2 linked regions of the Xenopus tropicalis genome follow. The protein of the gene in region 2 purifies or fractionates together with the protein of the main gene of each other region. This does not show direct contact. Links are inferred from orthologs where the notes say so. Each region holds a gene or a part of one and is shown on either strand. Other genes may lie near its edges.

What was found. Proteins that work in one complex are often made in the same cells at the same time.
Region 1: the proteins of nat10 (region 2) and thumpd1 purify together in Homo sapiens (co-immunoprecipitation; 3 studies listed by BioGRID and IntAct, counting the BioPlex papers as one, with this or other methods). This does not show direct contact. The link is inferred for Xenopus tropicalis from reciprocal best matches to the Homo sapiens genes NAT10 and THUMPD1.

Annotation. Positions count from the first base shown.
Region 1 is NC_030685.2:34,389,980-34,396,158, reverse strand, and holds the start of thumpd1 (THUMP domain-containing protein 1), read left to right. Parts: upstream 1-2,044; 5' UTR 2,045-2,088; intron 2,089-2,842; 5' UTR 2,843-2,925; coding exon 2,926-3,126; intron 3,127-4,546; coding exon 4,547-4,721; intron 4,722-5,201; coding exon 5,202-5,450; intron 5,451-5,575; coding exon 5,576-5,823; 3' UTR 5,824-6,179. UniProt on the Homo sapiens protein: Functions as a tRNA-binding adapter to mediate NAT10-dependent tRNA acetylation modifying cytidine to N4-acetylcytidine (ac4C).
Region 2 is NC_030680.2:15,208,364-15,213,747, reverse strand, and holds the end of nat10 (RNA cytidine acetyltransferase), read left to right. Parts: intron 1-13; coding exon 14-186; intron 187-900; coding exon 901-1,020; intron 1,021-1,093; coding exon 1,094-1,192; intron 1,193-1,283; coding exon 1,284-1,357; intron 1,358-2,063; coding exon 2,064-2,147; intron 2,148-3,518; coding exon 3,519-3,618; 3' UTR 3,619-3,883; downstream 3,884-5,384. UniProt on the Homo sapiens protein: RNA cytidine acetyltransferase that catalyzes the formation of N(4)-acetylcytidine (ac4C) modification on mRNAs, 18S rRNA and tRNAs.

The DNA.
Region 1 (6,179 bases), on a different chromosome or scaffold from region 2:
CTGATCAGTTTGATGCCCAATATGTATAGATATACCAAAGCAGGTGGCATGTACGGACCCCAAATGAAAATAGTGCATATGAATTTTCTAACCTGTCAATTTGCCTTCTGTGAACAAAGCCCCGACTGCTTATTATGAGCTGTAAGACCCCCTAACAGTACAAAGACTTACCATAAACCATATATTTTTGGAAAGTACATATTCTGATGAATCCACAATGGGTAATTCTGTCTTTCTACTCCAAACTAGCAAACTGCAAAGCTACGCTAAAAAAAACAACACAAAACAAAATACAATTTGGTAATTCAATGAAATAAAAAAATTAGTGATCAAACTGCGTGGTTAGGGGTCTGAATAGTTGATCCAATAGCCACACTGTGAAATCAACAGTATTTAGGGAGAAAACGAGAGGCAAAATGATAAAATAAAGAACTAAATAAAATTTAAAAAGTATGTTTGTGTATGCATGTGTGTACGGCTCTAAAAAGTGTGTAAATGTGTGTATATGTGAGTGTGTAAATATCTGCAAGAGTGTACAAAAGAAAAAAAAAAGCCAGAAAAGAAAAAAAAAAAAAAGAGAACTTTAGTAAAATGTGTAAGTGTATGTATGTGTGTGTAAATGTGTAAAGAAAGGGCACTTACCATTTCTGCATTGAGGGTACCAGAATTGCAGAGCCTACACAGCAGGAAGTGAGTGGGCGTTTGCTAGATGTCAGGTCCTGTGACAATCAGGTGAGCCAAGGGGGTTGTGATCCCAACCGCTGCTTGGTGGCAAAAACTGCTAGTGCAGTGTGGAAGCCCTTTAACGCGAAGCATGTAAGCACTTTGTGCTTGGCATTTTTCTGCCAGCGTGTAGTACCTACGTGCTTGGCAGGTAAAGGGTTAAAGGAGACATATTGGATAAATGGAAAAAACGCTAATTTTGTAGGCAATTATGAATAATATACGGTGCTGGTTTCACTTTGTTCTAAACATTAATCCTATCTGTAAAAATGGCCCCTTTATTGAGCTTCCCTATAGATCGTATCACTTCTCCATCCAGTATGAAATGAAGAGTGGGCGTGTCCTAATGGTCCCTGCCAGAAGCACAGTAGGAGGGGGAGAGCCAATCACAGCCCTGCACTCACACAAGCACTGACAGGCTTCAGTTCCCTATCAGGTCAGCCTAGCTGCTGATTGGTTCCTATCCTACAATTCAGTGTACGGAGGGCCTCCGGCTCCCCAGCTCATCCAGAGAATTCAGCCAGCAGGAAGTGGAACAGATGGGCGGGGCTAGTGGGGTTTTGGTGGAATTTCTCAATAAATCAGTCAGAAACACAACTTTTTAAAGCACAGCCCTTCTATATCTAGAGGAGTATCATTCACTGGCACATTCATCATTTTTATAGGATATGTCTCCTTTAAAACATTGTACCCACAATGAAACACATACCTTGGGGGCACACACAGGCTGACCCAACCTATCCCCCATTCCTGACATACCCCCAAAAGACAGAAACATATATAAGGGTGGCACATACAGCCTCACCTTCCCACAGGTATACAACTATGGACACAAACAACACTGCAAGGCATACACATACCTAATAACGCCTTGCTTACACATGTCCAAACCCCTCATCCATAAACTGACACCTCATTGCTGCGTCCCCTTATTTGAAAGGACCGGAGACAGAGTTTCTGAGGTATTTTTTTAATAAAGCATTGTGCAGGACAGGGCAATTATTGGAGCAGAGTAGAACAGATATTTTACTTAAAAAAATTATGTTACTGTTGCTTTAAGGGCACACGCCTTAGAGAGGCCAGCAAGTCTGTAATAGATCCGCAGCCACCACTGAACCGAAAGCGCCTCAGCAAGAACTAACTAAACTCCTGCATGTAATCCTGCCCCAAGAAAAAAATAATGCTACCCAGCGCAACGCAATACACTACTGAGTGACCTATTCCTACAGCCATTTGAAGAAGGCGCCGAATGTCACGTGTTGGAGACGGTCACATGTTCGTGACGTCACCGGCGGACCCTTAGGAACCAGCTGCGGCCATGCTCTCGCAGTAACACGGAGATAACGTGCGGGCTGCGTGTAGAAGGTAGTGTGTGATTCTAATAATTGCCTACTGTTTGCTAAATAATAGAACGCTGCTTAAGCAATGTGTCGGCCTAGGGTAGATTTGTGGCTGTGAATGAGAAGACTGTGTGTGGGACTTGTGCCCCTGAAATGTCGCACTGTGTAACCAATGAATAGGTTAAACACATTGGTCCCTATAATCTGTGTGTGTGTGGCGCCTATTTCTGCCTCACAACTGATGACAGATATATAGGGAGTACTGCCCCTCTAGGAATATTATTTAATGTTGCGTGGGAGAACAGTGGCAAAGTTTACCCAGCAATAGTTAATCCAGCAGCAAGCAATCTCATGTCCACTTCCATTATTCCTATACATCTGTATATTCTAGATATGGATTGGTAGTCAAACACTAGGCAACTTGGTGGTAGTGGATCACCTTGTTAAAGGGGCCATTTTTACAGATCTCTGGTAGGCGAAACAGTTTTATTATATGTGCCCTTTAATCTACATTGCAACTAGGAATCTTTGTAAATTTGAATACATACATACATACCTTCACAACAAGGCACCTGTTGTGAGGTTCTACCTCCAATTCCCTTTATGGTGAATAGGTTGGACATGAATATTGCACAGCAACTTTGTGCAAATTCATATAAACATTGCATTAAAAATAATACCGTGAAAGTAATGAATGCACAATCATTTTCATTTTATTGCACATTTTACTTGATGTTAGGTTGATTGGAATATAACCTTTTCTTGATTTCTTTGCCTAGAGACAGATACCAGGAATACACATCTAGGTGAAGGCTGTAACTGTTGTTAGCACCAGGAACTTTTTTATTATTCCACACCAATCATGAGCACAGATGGGCAAAAGGGCAAGAAAAGATATAAGTCTCAATTCTGCGGCAATGCCAAGAGGCAGAAGCGGCGCCATGAGCTGGAGGTTGGAATGCAAGGGATCCTTATCACCTGTAACATGAATGAGCGGAAATGTGTAGCAGAAGCCTACAGCCTACTGAATGAATATGGGGATCAGATGTATGGTCCTGAGAAGGTACAGCCTTCAATATTTCTAATGAAATCTGTTTGCAGCTAAAAAAAATGTTATTTGTAGGAATATCTTCAATCCCTGCTGGATGTTCTTTTGCTAAAGAGCAACAGAGCCACATTTCAATGCTGGAATGCCATAAATGTACAACCATAATAACTTTACAAAGTGTGTGTGTATATATATATATATATATATATATATATATATATATGCAATATGGCAACTGGCACTCACATAAAAATGGGATTTGGAATGCCTGGGTGCAGTGTCAAACAAAAATATACCGGTACATGTAGAAATATGAGCCGCACTCACAGGACTTAGTGTGAGAAAAAAAAAACAAATTTATTGAAGCATAAAGCTAATAGCTTTATGCTTCAATAAATTTGTTTTTTTTTTCTCACACTAAGTCCTGTGAGTGCGGCTCATATTTCTACATGTGTGTATGTATATATATATATATATATATATAAGTATTTATAAAGCACTAAAATATTTTGCAGCTCTGTATGATAGAGTAAGCACATTATTCGTACAGAATACGAATAACTTATCGCAACTGTATCTTGTATTTATTGTTATACTTTGTATTTATCTATTATTATCTTAACCCCCTTTAATGCATTAATGTATTCTACTGTACAGCGCTGCATACATAAGTAGCGCTTTATAAATAAAGATATACATACATACATAGTGACTGACACAGGAGGTAAGGAGGGCCCTTCTTATTAGAACAATACTATTTGGAGCACACCAGTCCCCCAACGGCAATCTGAATATTCTGTAGTGTACTCATTACTGGGGAATGTTAGAGCTTATGTGTAATACATGTTGTACCACCATTCTCCATTCGCTGTTGACGTTATGCCAGTATGGATGCTGGTATTTTTAGTACAACAGCAGCTGAAAAAATGCTAGTTCAAGAGTCACAGAACTCATTACTCAGTTGTCAGACAAGTTAGATAGATTCAGTGTCAGTGGAAATACAAGGTTATAGTCAAAAAGAAAAAAAAAATAGCCTGTAAAGACGTTATCCACCAAATAGGAGAACAAATTTTGTCTTTGTATGTGTTCAGTTTAAAGGACAAGGAATGCCTGCACCACTTGGTGGTGCAAATTTGTTAGGTACCCACCATTACTTACGTTTTACCCAGTGCTCCTGTTGTTTAGCAACACTGACCAGGGATAGTTATCTCCAGTGTGGGCACTGCTATGGTTTCCAGGCATCCCCTGCACCACTTAATTTTTTTCTTAAGAAAAGTTATGTAGTACACATGTGCCAGGTCTGAAAGTCTAAGTAGGACAGGGCATGCCTGGGAAGCTGGTGGCTGCCTACCGTATACATGTTACTAGCTGATGCACTGACCAAACAGGACACCATACCCTTCAATATGTGTTAAAACAATTCTCTTCTGCATAGCTAAGTGAGAAAGACGATGGGCTATCAGAAAGTGAGGAAGAGGATGATGATGCAGAAGCAGCTCTAAAGAAAGAAGTCGATCAGATTCGCACTTCAACAGAAAAAAACCTGCGTAGATTTCAGTCTGTGGAAAGTGGAGCAAACAATGTTATTTTTATTAGAACACTGAATGTGGGTAAGCTTGTTTTTGAAAGAGTTGCTAATTATTTGTCATGAAATATTAGAGAGGTTATATTGCACCTCCCACCCTTTGTCTCCAGGAAAAGGAAAATTAAAAGTTTTTTTTTCTTTTTTCACAGGTGATGTAGACAAGCCAATATTTTTGCTGCATATAAGAATATGAATTCTTTTTGCAGAGTTGCGCAGTGGGGTTACCACTTTTGGCCGCATCATCACCACCTTTGGCCGCATCACATCTAGTTTAAGGATTGCTCTAGTAATCGCTGACTAGGAGCATGCCTGCTGGAAGCCAGGTACAGATTGGCTATACAGGCACAATTGCCAGAGAGCCTCTAACTGGATGTTATGTGGGCAAATTTGGCCTTTAAATCAAATTCCTAGGACTCTTGAAATCTAAAACATTTCTGCATTTTTCCCCTTTAATGTCAGTGTGTAAGTATAACTTTGCTGATTGATTTCTCGGTTGCTGTTTCAGAGCCTGAGAAGCTGGTGCATCATATTTTGAAAGACGTGCACACAACCAAGAAGAAGAAGACCAGGGTCATCCTCCGCATGCTGCCCGTTTCTGGTACATGCAAGGCTTTTCTTGAGGACTTGAAGAAATACGCGGAGACATTTTTTGCACCCTGGTTTAAATCTCCCAACAAGGGAACCTTTCAGATTGCATATAAAGCACGGAACAACAACCATATGAATAGAGATGAAGTGATAAAGGAACTAGCAGGTATAACTACATAAGGGTGCAAGGGCTGTTTCATTTCCACTCGCCTCACTTTGTTGAATATTTTAGCATGTATTTTCTTGTAGAGTCTTATATATATATTTTTTTTACTTTAATTTTGTTTTTAGGGATTGTCGCAAGCCAGAACCCAGAAAACAAGGTGGATTTAAGTAACCCAGAGTATACTGTCATAGTTGAAATCATAAAGAATGTCTGCTGCTTTAGTGTTGTGAAGGACTATACTGTGTTTAGGAAGTACAATCTACAGGAGGTGATAAAGAGTAGTAAGGAGGAAAAACCCCAACAGCCCACAAAGGAGGACAAAGAAGAGAATCTGAAAGAAACCCAAGGCACTCAAAATACTGCACACAGCTAGAACTTTGATAGGGCAGTGAATTTTCAATACACTCACTTTTATGTTTTACGGTGTTTGAGCTACAGTACACTTGCCTTTAAGGGTGATGGCACAGAGAAGGTTTAGTCACCCACAGTAAATCCTGCAGTTTGGCAGTGAGTACATTTGACTGCAATACAAAAGGTATATTCAGTAGTTTTGTTATCTGCATTGTAGGAGATTTAGTGCAGGCAGCAAAACATCCCTTGTGCCATCACTCTTACAGGAAACTGCTGTTCTTGTTTATCATAAGCACAACACATATGATGCAAATGTGTAATGTCTGCATTAAAGCCCACCCCACCTATCTCGGCAAAGATTGATGTGTACCTTGCAGG
Region 2 (5,384 bases):
TCTTGCACCCTAGTGATCTCTCGCTCTGAACTAGAGGCTGGTTTAACCCCCTACGACCTGAAGCGATTGGAGATGTACTCTCGTAACATGGTGGATTATCATCTTATCATGGATCTGATCCCTTCTCTGGCTCGGATGTACTTTCTGCAGCAACTCGGAGGCCTCAGCTTGTCCGCAGCTCAATCTGTTAGTCATATATTATTCCACTAATATAGCTGATTGTTATACTGCTGTCATACTACACGTATATGTCAGTTGGGTCCTTTATGTTTTACTGCTGACCATCCCACCTACAAGCCCCAAAGAGATACTTATTAAACTTATTACCTACTTGTGCCCACCCTGTTGTCGATGAGAGCGCTATTCTAAGCACTTTTGCAATTTACATTCATCATTTATAACATGACGTAGTCGAGGACGTTGTGGAGGAAGTTTTCAGGAGTAAGAACGAGTACTAAGCTGATGTTCTTGTTAGGAAACGTATTCGAAACCTCAGAACTTTTCTCATGTCTTTCCTAACCAGAAGAACATCCCTCTTTCTTTCTCCTGACAACTTCTCAACAATACAGTGTCCTCGACTACTTCATGTTCAGAAAGTGACCAGCAGGTGGCGCTGTTGTAACAAAATGCATTCATGTTAACAGTACTTTTCATTAAAAGAATAATAAATAATGAATGTTAATTGAAAAAGTGCTTTGAATAGCACTCTCATCAATTTTACATCAATTTATTTATAATGTTTACTTATTTTAATGGAGCAGAGGAATTAACTGGTGGGGGCAAGACCTAGTGAGACCATCTAGGTATAACGGGACTTATTACGCAATTCCTAGGGGCACGAGGTCTGTATCGTATTAGATGTGGGAGTGGCCTAACTACCATATTCTTTCCTCCAACAAGGCTCTGCTTCTGGGCATCGGCTTGCAGCATAAAAGTGTCGATCAGTTGGAGAAAGAGATTGAGCTCCCCAGCAGTCAGCTGATGGGACTTTTCAACCGCATCATTCGTAAAATAGTCCAGGTAGGTGCCTTTTCACAAGTGGCTTTATTCCTTCAATTTCCTATGCATCTCCTGATCCTGTTTCTCTCTCCAGCTGTTTAACAGAATCCAGGAGAGGGCAGTGGAAGAGGAAATGGCTACCACTAAGGAGGTGGTTATGGAACCAACACTGAAGTCTCTTCAGGAGGATTTGGTGAGGCGAGATCCCTGTTAACTGAGCATTCTGATACATTTCTGCATTAAGCACCTAGTCTCATTTGCTTTTTACCATGTCTTTTGACCAGGAAGAGGCCGGTAAGGAGTTTCAAGAGAAACACAAGCAGGAAGTGGAGAAGCTAAAAGGGATAAATCTCTCTGAGTAAGTAACCCTAATCCAATATCCAACTTGGCCTCAAAAGGAAGGGCAACGGAGACCAGTGAAATTATGTATCTGTCCAGGTTTTCTTTTACTTTGCCAATTGCCCCGGTAAAAGGTAACATTTCATTGGTTCACATGGGTTTCTGGATGGGGCAAACTTTCCCAACATCTTTACACTGCCTCCATATACAGTATATACGTTGCTGTTAAAATGTAGAATGTGTGAACCCCTCAATGGTGCTTTCTACTTGTGGAACAAACCATACAGGTTTACACAAACACTTAAAACATGGCAAACACTATGTACCAGTGAAAGAACAGTTTGCATGAAGTCAAGTTTATATATGCGTTTATCATGTGACACCTTCAGACAGATCAGGAAGAGGGAGCATTCTATACAGGGATGCACCGAATCCAATATTTTGGGATCTGCCTGAACCCCGAATTCTTTTTGAAAGATTCGGCTGTATACCAAACTGATACCGAATCCTAATTTGTATATGCAAATTAGGCCACAGGGAGTTAAATAAAATTGAACGCTTTTGTTTGTGACAAGTCACATGATTTTAAGGATTCGGATTTAGTTCGGCCTGGCACGTAGATTCAGATTCAGTATATCCCTGATTTTCTACCATTTTTGCATGTAAGGGGTTCCTCCTATCCTGATGCATTAGGCCATTAAATGGAGAATATTCTCTGTTTGCAGATATGTGATCCGAGGGGATGATGAGGAATGGAATGAAGTCCTGAAGAAAACGGGTCAAAATGCATCAGTTATCAGCATGAAGAGGTGAGTCCAGTGGATGGCACAGGGTTCATCGGCAGCTGAATCCTCCAGCACCACTTATCATTGGCTTTAATTGAAACTGCTTGGCACCCCTGGTGATTGGTGGTTTATGAGCATTTGCGACCTTAAAACCAGCGGTGGCAGGCAGTTTCCCCTATAAGCAAAGACATGGTGACACAGACAGATTCAGGGCACTTCTCCACCTGCAGAGGAAATACCTTTAGTGCCATCAGATTTTAATGGTTTTTGGTCTTTTTTATCAGCAGACCATAATGTTTTATTGAAAAATGGGCAATATTAACTAATGGCTTAAAAATAGTGCTTGTGCCTAAAGCTGCACATACATGGGCAGATATTGGCTTTCAGCTCACCCACTTGACCAAATAGGCAGCCTGTTGGCTCATGTATGGACCTTAAACAGTCATTTTATCGACTGATTTGGCCTTTTTAAAGATATTGACTGGATAGGCTTGAAATCCCTAAGGACATTGTGTGTTAATCAGACTGGTATTTCAAGCCCCCTATATGGATCTGATTATTATCTATTATTATTATATTAATAACCCCCTGTTGTATTAATCTATTCTACTGTACAGCACTTTCTAAATAATGATATACATACATACATACATACATACATAAATTGGCCCAAGGTCATGTGATGGGCCAAATCCGAAAACGTTCTGCTTGTTTTGTGTCCTGGCCAAACAATCTGATCTTGGTGTGTTTGGCTGCTTTAATAAAGGTTAGTTGCAGTGCCTACCTATCTGTTATCATCTCTCCTTGTTGCCGTACAGTTCTGTACATAGCCCGGCATTGACTGCTTGGCTTGTTGTTATAGAACAAGTTAGATTATTGGAAAAAGCCATCTACTGGTTAGAATAAGTATTACAGTTAAAGGGTAACTATCACTGTCAAGCAAAATAAACTTAAATGCTTAAGCATTTATTATACAGCTTTTGATATAGTTAAAGTGAGCTTTAAGGTATATTTTCTCCCCAGGGATAGAAAGCATTTGAAAGGGTAACTCTTTGAATATAAAAAGGGAAGATATATTATAATCTGTTAAACACCTGAAGGGATTAATGTTCTAACCTGCCGATAGATATATTCCCAATTTTCGGATTTTGATCAGGAAGGAGCCATATGTTGGCCAATAAGCTGATAGCTCAGTGTCTAGGGGTTGAGTTGGCAGCTTTTAATGGCCTGTGCATGGCCACCTGGAAGCTGAGTAAGAACTATGAGTAAGCTTTCAAATAATGAAACAATATATGCAAGTATAGTGCCCAGTATTCCCCTCTTGCTTGCCATGCCAGAATGTTTGCTCTGCTCTTTACATCAAGTGCACCCTAATGTTCATCTCCTCCCTTGCAGTGACAAGAAGAGAAAGCTGGAGCAGCCAGAAAAGGAGGGATTCAAACAGAAGAAGAATTTAAAAAAGAATAAGGAGAAAAAGCAGAAATTTGCTAAATAGTTATTTTAATGCATATCGTGATTGCGGGAGGATCCGCTGAACCCAGTGTATTTATATTTTCAAGGATATTGTGGGAGGAAACTTGCCCCAAGGGAGGTGTTAATCTCCCTCAATACTTTGTGATTAGTTTGCTGTCTGTGTGCTGGACAGGCTGGCAGGGATGTGCCTACGGATATGAGTTGGACTCGTTGCATGGTGACCTTTGTATATTTTTAAACTGTACATAAAGCACCGTATGTGTAAATATACACACGTTTCTACATCAGTATGTGCTTTCTTTATGTGAATCCAAATACAACTGTAGCCTTAGGGCTGTGTATGTAGCTCAGTTCTTTTTTTCCATAACTGAGCCCTTAATCTGTGCAAGGATGGAGAGCAATGGTTCCCAAACTGTCGGACTCACCCAGGGAGGCCAGTAAGTGTAAGGGGTTAATGTGTTTGCTCTCCTAGATAGAAAGCCCAGATGGAAGATCAGTTGGGATAAGGTTCGGGGTGAACCCTTATTTGCTGCCTGATTATTCTTGGAATTATGACTGGAAGGCAACTACACCACTATGTTTCCCATCTATGTAACCTTGTTTTCTAAATCACAGCCATCTTTGTTTCACTGCTCAGTGTTCTTTGGCTTTGGATCTTGCTCTTTGGGAATGGGTCAAATACTACAGTTATGCGGTATGTGCCAGATGGCATTAATCCAACTGGTTGGAATACTAGAGAAGTATGGCCCTAACCTGTCCCATAATAATGTCCAGTGGTGCCCAGTTAGACCAAAGTTCTGATGGCACTCATTAAAAGGCACTTCTCAGGTGGTTTTGGTATAGGGAATATATTAAATTAGGGCTATAGATGTGGCATTTTGGTGACCATGGCACACTCCGCTTTAAAAAGGGATTGTTCACCTTTAAGTTAACTTTTAGTATGTTATAGAATGGCTAATTCTAAGCAACTTTTCAGTTGGTCCTCATTTTTTCTTTTTTATAGTTTTCCATTTATTTGCTGCCTTCTTCTCCCTCATTCCAACGTTCAGATGGGGGTCACTGACCCCCTATTGCTCAGCAAGCCTGCAACTTTATTGTTACTGTTTCTTTTTATAACTTACCTTTCTATTCAGGCACTCTCCTGATCATATTCCAGTCTCTTAGTAAAATCAATGCCTGATTGCTATGGTAAGAGCTGCTACATAAAAAGCTAAATAATAAAAAAAAAATTACACTTGGACCCTAGCAACCAAATAACAGCAGAAACGCCAAACTGGAGAGCGCCTGAACTGAAAGCGAAATAACCGAAAAACTACAAATAATGACAAATGAAGGCTAAATGCAAATTGTCAGAATATCGCTGTATATATGATGCTAAAAGTTAACTCAAAGGTGGATAACCCCTTTAATGGTCGGACAGCTGGCAATGTGACCCATAACATTGCCTGCTGGGGCTTCCATAGTCTGCATGGGTGGTCCTGTGCGGCCCCCTGTCCGGTCAGTGCTGTTATAGTGTCCTTGCCTCCCAGGAAGGAAACATAAGCCCTTCTAGCACAAAAACAATAAGAAGATGAGTTTGCAAGCAGTAAGTAGGTGGCTGTGATTTTACTCGTTGGGTGGCAGGCCTGTGACCTTAGCCTGTAAATAGGCATTGGGTGGGCACATGGGTGACCGATCCGCTATATTGCCATCTGCTCGCTGCTTAGAGAAGGAAAGTCCTCCAATAAGGATTAATTATATTTTAGTTGGGATCAAGTACAGGTACTGTTTTATTATTACAGAGAGAAG